Linked DNA regions of Notamacropus eugenii. The protein of the gene in region 2 interacts with the protein of the main gene of each other region in a pairwise test. Links are inferred from orthologs where the notes say so. Each region holds a gene or a part of one and is shown on either strand. Other genes may lie near its edges.

Region 1 (2,991 bases), on a different chromosome or scaffold from region 2:
AGGCAGGATTCCGAACTCAAGTCTTTTGGGTCCAAGTCCAGTGTTCTTTTTATGTCTCCCACACATAAATTTAGGAATTTTTAAATGTTAGTCTTCATCTAATTCTGAAATTCTGGCTATACTGTGGAAGGGGGCATGAACCCCATTTCTCATCACTTTGTGTCACATCCAATTCGGTGATCCCCAAGAGTTCCAAATGATTCCAAAGCACTCCCTTTCCTCTCTTTTCCCCTCATATTCTCTCTGGACTTCTGCACTTCCCACTTGCCAACTGGGTTTCTCCGGGGTCACAACAACTTCGGGGCTCAACCCCTTCAGTTTACAGTCACAAAGGCCCTAGGTGCTGGACTGGATGGGATGCTACAGCCGTGTCTTCATCAAAGGTGGAAGTCCTGGCTCACTGTTCGGCTCCTCCTCACTCACCACGGTCTGGACAGTTTTATTAACTGTTGGTGGCAAAGGGAAGTCCCACCACCAAGTTGCACTCCATACTTAGTGTAAGGATGACTCCACACTCACCAGCCCGACACTGACGCAGGGATTGGGCGGAGTCTTCTGCCTACCGCTCCGCCCCAAACCCTTGTCACGTGCTATGGGGAACTGACTAAGGGTTGGCCGGCTTCCGTCTCGCGCGGAAGTCCTATTTTGGCTGCGAACAACGTCTAGCCCTCCCTCCCCTCCCCTTGGACTGTCCTCCTCGTCATTCTACAGCTTCCTACATCACGTGACGAGAGAAGACCGCAACGAGTCGAGTTCTTGGGCAAATGATTTTTAACGGTCATTCAGAGGCGGAGGTGGGGACGGCACGTGTCCATGGATCCAGCTCCTGATTGGCCAATCCTTCCCTTTCCCTCCCATCGCCCAGCTCCTCTAGAGGGCGGGGGTAAATCGAACACGCTGGACCTCTGGGATTGCGGGAGGGGGGGCGGTAAACTAGGAGCTTCCTTCGTCACGTGGTATGGTGAGGGTTCGGGCCTGCTTATCACGTGGTCGCCATACAGGTATGCTTCCCCTGATTTTTATGTGCCAGGCTCTGGGACAGTTTCCTCTCGCTCGGTGACGTGACCTTTGACCCCGACCCCCTCCCTTTGGCCGCCTAGGCTGCATGTTGGTGGGGCGGGGCCCCCAGGTCTGGCTCGGCGGAGTGGTGAGTGACGACCCCCTCCCCTTTCGGAAGATCCTTGAACCTGCCCACCCGGCCTCCAGATCCATCTTCTACCCTCCCCTCCCCTTCTGGGCAAGAGTCCGTGCCTCAGTGTCCTAGCTTAGGGTCTGGGCTCTGCATCCGGGATGACTGGCGGTGAGGAGGGGGAGGGCTGGGGCTGCGGAGCTGGGCTGGCCCTTTGATGGCGCCGCCTCCCCTCCCCCCAGGCCGCTTCGCTCCTGGCCTTCCTGTGCATGCACTCGCTGCTCGCCTGGTTCCCCCCCCTGCGGCTGCTCCCCCGAGCCCTCTCCATGACCGCTCGACCTCCCGAAGGCCCGGCCCCCGCCCCCACCGGCTCCGACTACGTCCCTGGCTCCGTCTCAGTGGTCTTTGTAACCTGCCCCAATGACAAGATCGCCAAGACTATTGCCAGGTTGGAGGAGGGGTCGGAGCGTGGGGTGGAGGGGCAGGCGAGAGCTTCTTGGGAGCCTTTGGGGTACAGGGCGTGGGAAGCAGTCTGCTCCGACCTGAGCGAGCTTCCCCGATTTCCAGGGCTGTGGTGGAGAAGCGACTGGCCGCCTGCGTCAATCTTGTACCCCAGATTACGTCTATGTAAGTCTTGGGAAGGGGTGTGCTGTTTCCTAGGGAGGGAGGGTGTGTATCTCCTCTCCCCATTAACTCATCCTTTTGTTGTCTTTCAGCTATGAATGGAAAGGAAAGATCGAGGAGGACAGTGAGGTGATGATGGTAAGAGCTCCCCCCTTCCAGCTCTTTCCTCCTAGGGTGTTTAGCTCCTGCTCCTCCTGTTCAGTTTCCTGATCTAGACCTCTCAATCCTTCAGATGATGAAGACTCAGACTGCCTTGGCACCGCCCTTGACAGAATTTATTCGGTGAGGACATCAAGATTAGTTTTCTGGTGGGAGTGGGCGATGATGTATTTTCAGGTGGATGAGGAAATACTGCTCAACTTTTGTTGACCTTTCCTCTTTCTCTAGTTCTGTTCACCCATACGAAGTGGTAGAAGTCATTACATTGCCTGTGCAACAGGGGAACCTTCCATACCTTCACTGGGTAAAAGATAGCACCACTCATCAGTGATGACTTCTCAGGCTAACTTCCACACACTTTCTCTAATAAATCCTGACCCCGTAGTGCTGCCTCTTGATCTTTTCCTTATTACATGTATTACTTGCTGTGAGTATTCATTGAGGGTATAGTAGTAAGCCCCAACCCATTTCCATCCATTTTTCCTCTATCAAGATAATTCAAGTTTCTGAAGGGTATATTTATCTTTATTTCCAACCATACAGAGCCCAGGATTCCCTGTTCTATCCCCCTCCCCTTCCCCTAAGGGGTTAAATAACTTTTAAAAATATAAAAAAAGCTGTAACAAAATATCACGGGAAATGGGAAAAAGGCTGTAGGGTCAGGAATCATGAAGGGGTGGCTGAGGAAGAAAGGGGCCTCTCCCCACCTGACTCCAGCCTGGGTGGTAGGGAAGGAGCCCCCCACCCCAGACCACGCCCCCAGGTACATCCCAGCTGCAGGTGAGGTCAGAAGTCAGGGTGTGAAAGTGCCAGTTGTATGTGTGTGAATAAGGGCTAGGGAGAGGAGGAGCAATCAGCTCCTCCTTTTAGAAGATGCCTCCTCCACCCCACTCCACAAGGTACTGCACAGAGCCATCAGGTCGAACCCTCCGAGCCAGCACACGGACAGGGTCTCCTCGGGACAGGTACCCAGCCCCTACCCGGGTTCCCACACCAGCTCCAGGAGATAAGCCACGACACAGAGGGGAAGGGCCCTGGGGAACTGATCTTCGGGAGGGAACAGGGGAGGGGCTTGGGGA
Region 2 (3,912 bases):
TGTTCATGAAGTTGGCTGACTAGAAAGATGTACCATGACTTGTCAAAAATGGAAAACTTGTAGACTTTGGGAAACTTGGGGAGAAAACAAAGACCCAAGGTGAAGGTTTTGTAGAATGGATTTTGAAAGTCGGGCAAAGAGGAGAAAGTATAGGGGATAAGGGGTAGAAGGTGGGCCCTTTTGACAGATCTACAACAGTCAGTCAACAAATGTTTATTAAATGCTTACTGTATACCAGGCACTGTGCTGAATCCTAGGGAGACAAAAAAGGGCAAAACAGGGCTTCCCCTCAAGAAGCTTACAACCTGTAAATAGGTACACATAAGAGACTGAGGGGGAGAAGATGGAAGTCAGTGGGTTATCTGGGCTCATTTCAGTTCAATTCAACAATCATTTATGAAGCGTTATGTGCCAGGCACTGAGCTTTGAAGATACAAAGACAAAATGAAAGAGTCCCTGCCTGCTCTTAAGAAATCCTTGTACTGGGGAGATTAGATGTATGCAGATAAATAAATTTCCAAACCTTGGATTTATGCATGAGTAGTTTTGTGCTGGAATTTTCCTGCCACGCATGAAGCCTGGGGTTCAGTTCCTGGTCTATGTCTTTTTAATGAGGAGAGGGGGAGGGACAGTTTGATAGAATGGAAAAAGCACTGATTTTGGAGGAAGGGGACCTGGATTCAAATCCTGCATCGACATCTATGAAGCTAGAATGATCTGAGTTTCTTCCTCTGTAAAAATAGCCATTTGGACCAGATAGCCTTTGAGGTCCCTTTGAGTTGTAGATCTCCAGCCCTCAGGACTGAGGGAGTCAGAAAAGGGCATCCCTCAGGAGTGGGCAATCAGAAAGCTCTCCCAAGTCTAGGGGTGATTTTAAGGGTCTTGATTCTCTTGGGGGTGTGCCTCTCTCAGTGCGGGGGGAGGTCCCCTTTGCTAACTCCCAGACAGCCGATCAGTGGAGGGGGCTCCTGTGTTGGGTGAGGGCAGTTTCACCAGTAGCTGCAGCTATGTGGTTTTAATCTGGGAGCACCAAGGCGGAAGTTATTGTTTACATCCAAATTGGACTCAGACTTCTCATTCCAGCTGCTTTGCTGAAGGCTCGCAAGGCCTCTGGAGAAGAGGTGTCCCTTGTCCCTTGCACAGGCCCCACACAGTCCTTAGCCTGTGGCCCCATGAGGCCTTCAGGGGACCATCTCTCGACAGCCTGAAACAGGCCCCCATTCTCTTTCTCTGCCAGGGCTAAGGAGGTCCAGGGAACATGTTAGCCCCTTTACAGGGCATTCATGGGGGTAAAATCGGGTGTGATGGCAGGACAGGAGGATTCAGAGAAAACTCAGGGAGGTAGAAAACCCAGGCGACCTGATTCCCAGCCTTGGGCTCAGCCTGCTGGCTCTCACCCAGATCCTTTCTCCAGGGGAAGGGAAATCACACCTCTGGGGGGACGATAGGGACAGGGACTCTCGGGACAGTCAGCAGCTGGGAAGGGGGTCAGCGTGGAACTCGGCAGTCATCCGAGGGGGCAGGACAGCAATAGGGGTGGGGTAGAACTTCTCCACCCTACCTGCCCCTGGCCAATCAAACCAAGAAGGGGAGGGGGGAAGACAGTCCAAGGAAAGGGAGAGGGGGATGGGACAAAGGGAAAGGAGGCTAGAGAGATTTCTGAGCAGTCAGAGTAGGGGAGAGGGGGTAGTGTTGGGACAGGGGGAGCGGGGCGCTGAGCCCCGGGGCAGGTAAAGGAGTTGTTTCCTGTCAGAGGTTCCCCCTAGAAGTCTTTCACCTTTTATGGTAAAGGGATTGCTGTGGGACCGGCTGGGAAAGAGGGAGGAAGAGAAGGGAGTGGGGGAGGGAGAGAGGGAGGAAAGAAGAGGAGGAGGGGAGAGAGGGAGGGAGGAAAGAAGAGGAGGAGGAGAGGGAGGGAGGGAGGCTGGCAGGCTGGGGCCGGGAGAAAGGAAAGGGCTGTGATGTCAGCGGGGAGGCTCGCTTACCTCCCTGACCCCGGCAGAAGGCACTGCGGGGCTGCCGAGAAGGCGTCCGGGACTGGCGGCGCCCGGAGCTCAGGTGAGCGGAACAATGGGGACTCCGCGGCAATGAAGGAACAGTTGGGGAGGTCCGGGCGGCCGCGCGGCTGCAGGTTCGAGCCCCAGCTCCCCTCGGGATCGGGGGAGGGGTGAGGAAGGAGTCTGGGGGAGACCCTCTGAAGGACAGAGACGGACAAAGCCAGGGGATCTGTCCCGAGTAGTGCCCGGGACCGGGGGAGGTACCGGTCCGGGGGTGGGATGGGGGAAATCGAGGAGGTAGGAGATAATGCTCACCCCAAGGGCAGGAAGGGGAGTGAGTGGCAGCACCAGTGCTCTACAGACCTCAGCTGCCCGAGCATCAGCAGACACCCTACCCAACTTCTTACCGATGGTAAAGGAATTGTCCCCGTCTCTGTAGAGACATCCCCCAGGCCAACCCAACAATCCAACAAGATTTCGAGCTAAAAGAGCGCTTCGAAGTCTTCTCGGCTAACTCCTTCACTCCACAGACAAGGAAACTGAGGCACAGAGGGGTTTAGTGACATGCCCAATGGAGATTCGAACCCACGTCGTCTATTGTAAATCCAGAGCTCTCCCACTATATTAAGTCGAAGCATCTGCTTCTAAATCCAGACCCTGGGACTCTGCCTGGTTCCAATCTCTACACTCATGGAGGGGGAGGGGAAAGGGGGAAAGGGAGAGGGAGGGGAATGAAGGGAAGGGGTAGGTGGGGGTTGGTGGTTCATAGCTTCACTAGTCCCTTCAAAGGATAACCTACAGTTCCCCTTGTCCGCTTGACAAGGACTGGGCGCTGCCTATCCCTGGGACACCTCCCTGGCTGGGAGTGGAGAGTTTGTGGAAAAGGTCAGCTCACAGGAGAGGACCTTCAGAGAAGGTTGGGGGTCTGAACCAATCCTCAAAGAGCTAGGGAACAGACGCCTTCCAGAGGGCTCCTGGTCCTCCTTGTAGATAATAGAATTTTAAGCTGGAGCAAGTGCAGAGGTCATTGATATGACCCCTTCATTTTATGGGTGAGGAAACTGAGACCCAGAGAAGGCATACATACCTAAGAGGCACAAAGCAGTAGAGCTAGGACTCCCTCAAATTCAGGACTTTTCCTCCTACAACAGTCAGGCAGGGGGTCCCCTCTCCCTGCCCCTCACTCCATCATCTCTGTGCCCACCCTCCCCCTGAGTAGGGCAAGACGTGGAACAGTCAGTGAACATTGCCCAGCTTCTTGGGGCCTCCCATCCACCCCCAAGCTCTGCTGAGTGGAAGGAGAGGCCAGAGAAAAGCTATTTTTGTGACTCCTAATTATCACAGAAGATTAAAGCCCAGTCTGTCCCCTGGGACAGGACCTGAGCAGCCCGAAGTACTGGGTTTGTGCCCCTTCTGGAGTACCACCCAAGCTCTGCCGCCCTCCCCAACCCCAACTCCACCGACTCTGTGTATGTGTGTTTGATGTCTCTTGTTTTTACATCACTTTCATTTCCAAATAGAATCATTCCTCCTTGTAGCAAAGAATAAAAAGGAGAAAAAAAGGAATTTATCAAAACTCACCAAAACATCAACCAAGTCTGACAGTCTATAAAACGTCCTTACACATAGTCTTTCACTTCTGTAAAGGAACACCCACATCCCTCCCAGTGATTAGATTAAAGTATTTATCAATCCCTTACTAGGTACCAGGCACAGGGTTGACTATTCCATACCTCTCCCCTTCTCAGACCCTCCTAGCTATCCTTTCTAGAACCTGTCAGTCAGTTAACAGGCATTTTAATGGTATTTTTCCTCATTGCAGTTCTTCCCATTTTCTTGCATTCTTCCCATTTTACAAAGAAGTAGACTGGAGTCTGGGAGCTGAAGTGACTTAGCCAAGGTCCTACAACCATTA

The links.
Region 1: the proteins of FBLIM1 (region 2) and CUTA interact in binary tests that used the Homo sapiens proteins (3 or more experiments, as listed by UniProt). The two-hybrid records come from large-scale screens. The link is inferred for Notamacropus eugenii from reciprocal best matches to the Homo sapiens genes FBLIM1 and CUTA.

What each region holds. Positions count from the first base shown.
Region 1 is NC_092873.1:89,415,299-89,418,289, reverse strand, and holds CUTA (protein CutA), read left to right. Parts: upstream 1-873; 5' UTR 874-958; coding exon 959-1,001; intron 1,002-1,030; exon of another isoform or gene 1,031-1,100; coding exon 1,101-1,147; intron 1,148-1,371; coding exon 1,372-1,577; intron 1,578-1,696; coding exon 1,697-1,756; intron 1,757-1,845; coding exon 1,846-1,891; intron 1,892-1,985; coding exon 1,986-2,035; intron 2,036-2,140; coding exon 2,141-2,243; 3' UTR 2,244-2,296; downstream 2,297-2,991. Other genes in the region: PHF1 (PHD finger protein 1), read right to left, coding at 2,779-2,991. UniProt on the Homo sapiens protein: May form part of a complex of membrane proteins attached to acetylcholinesterase (AChE).
Region 2 is NC_092876.1:55,217,322-55,221,233, forward strand, and holds the start of FBLIM1 (filamin-binding LIM protein 1), read left to right. Parts: upstream 1-1,766; 5' UTR 1,767-1,785; intron 1,786-1,923; exon of another isoform or gene 1,924-2,002; 5' UTR 2,003-2,058; exon of another isoform or gene 2,059-2,131; intron 2,132-3,912. UniProt on the Homo sapiens protein: Serves as an anchoring site for cell-ECM adhesion proteins and filamin-containing actin filaments. Is implicated in cell shape modulation (spreading) and motility.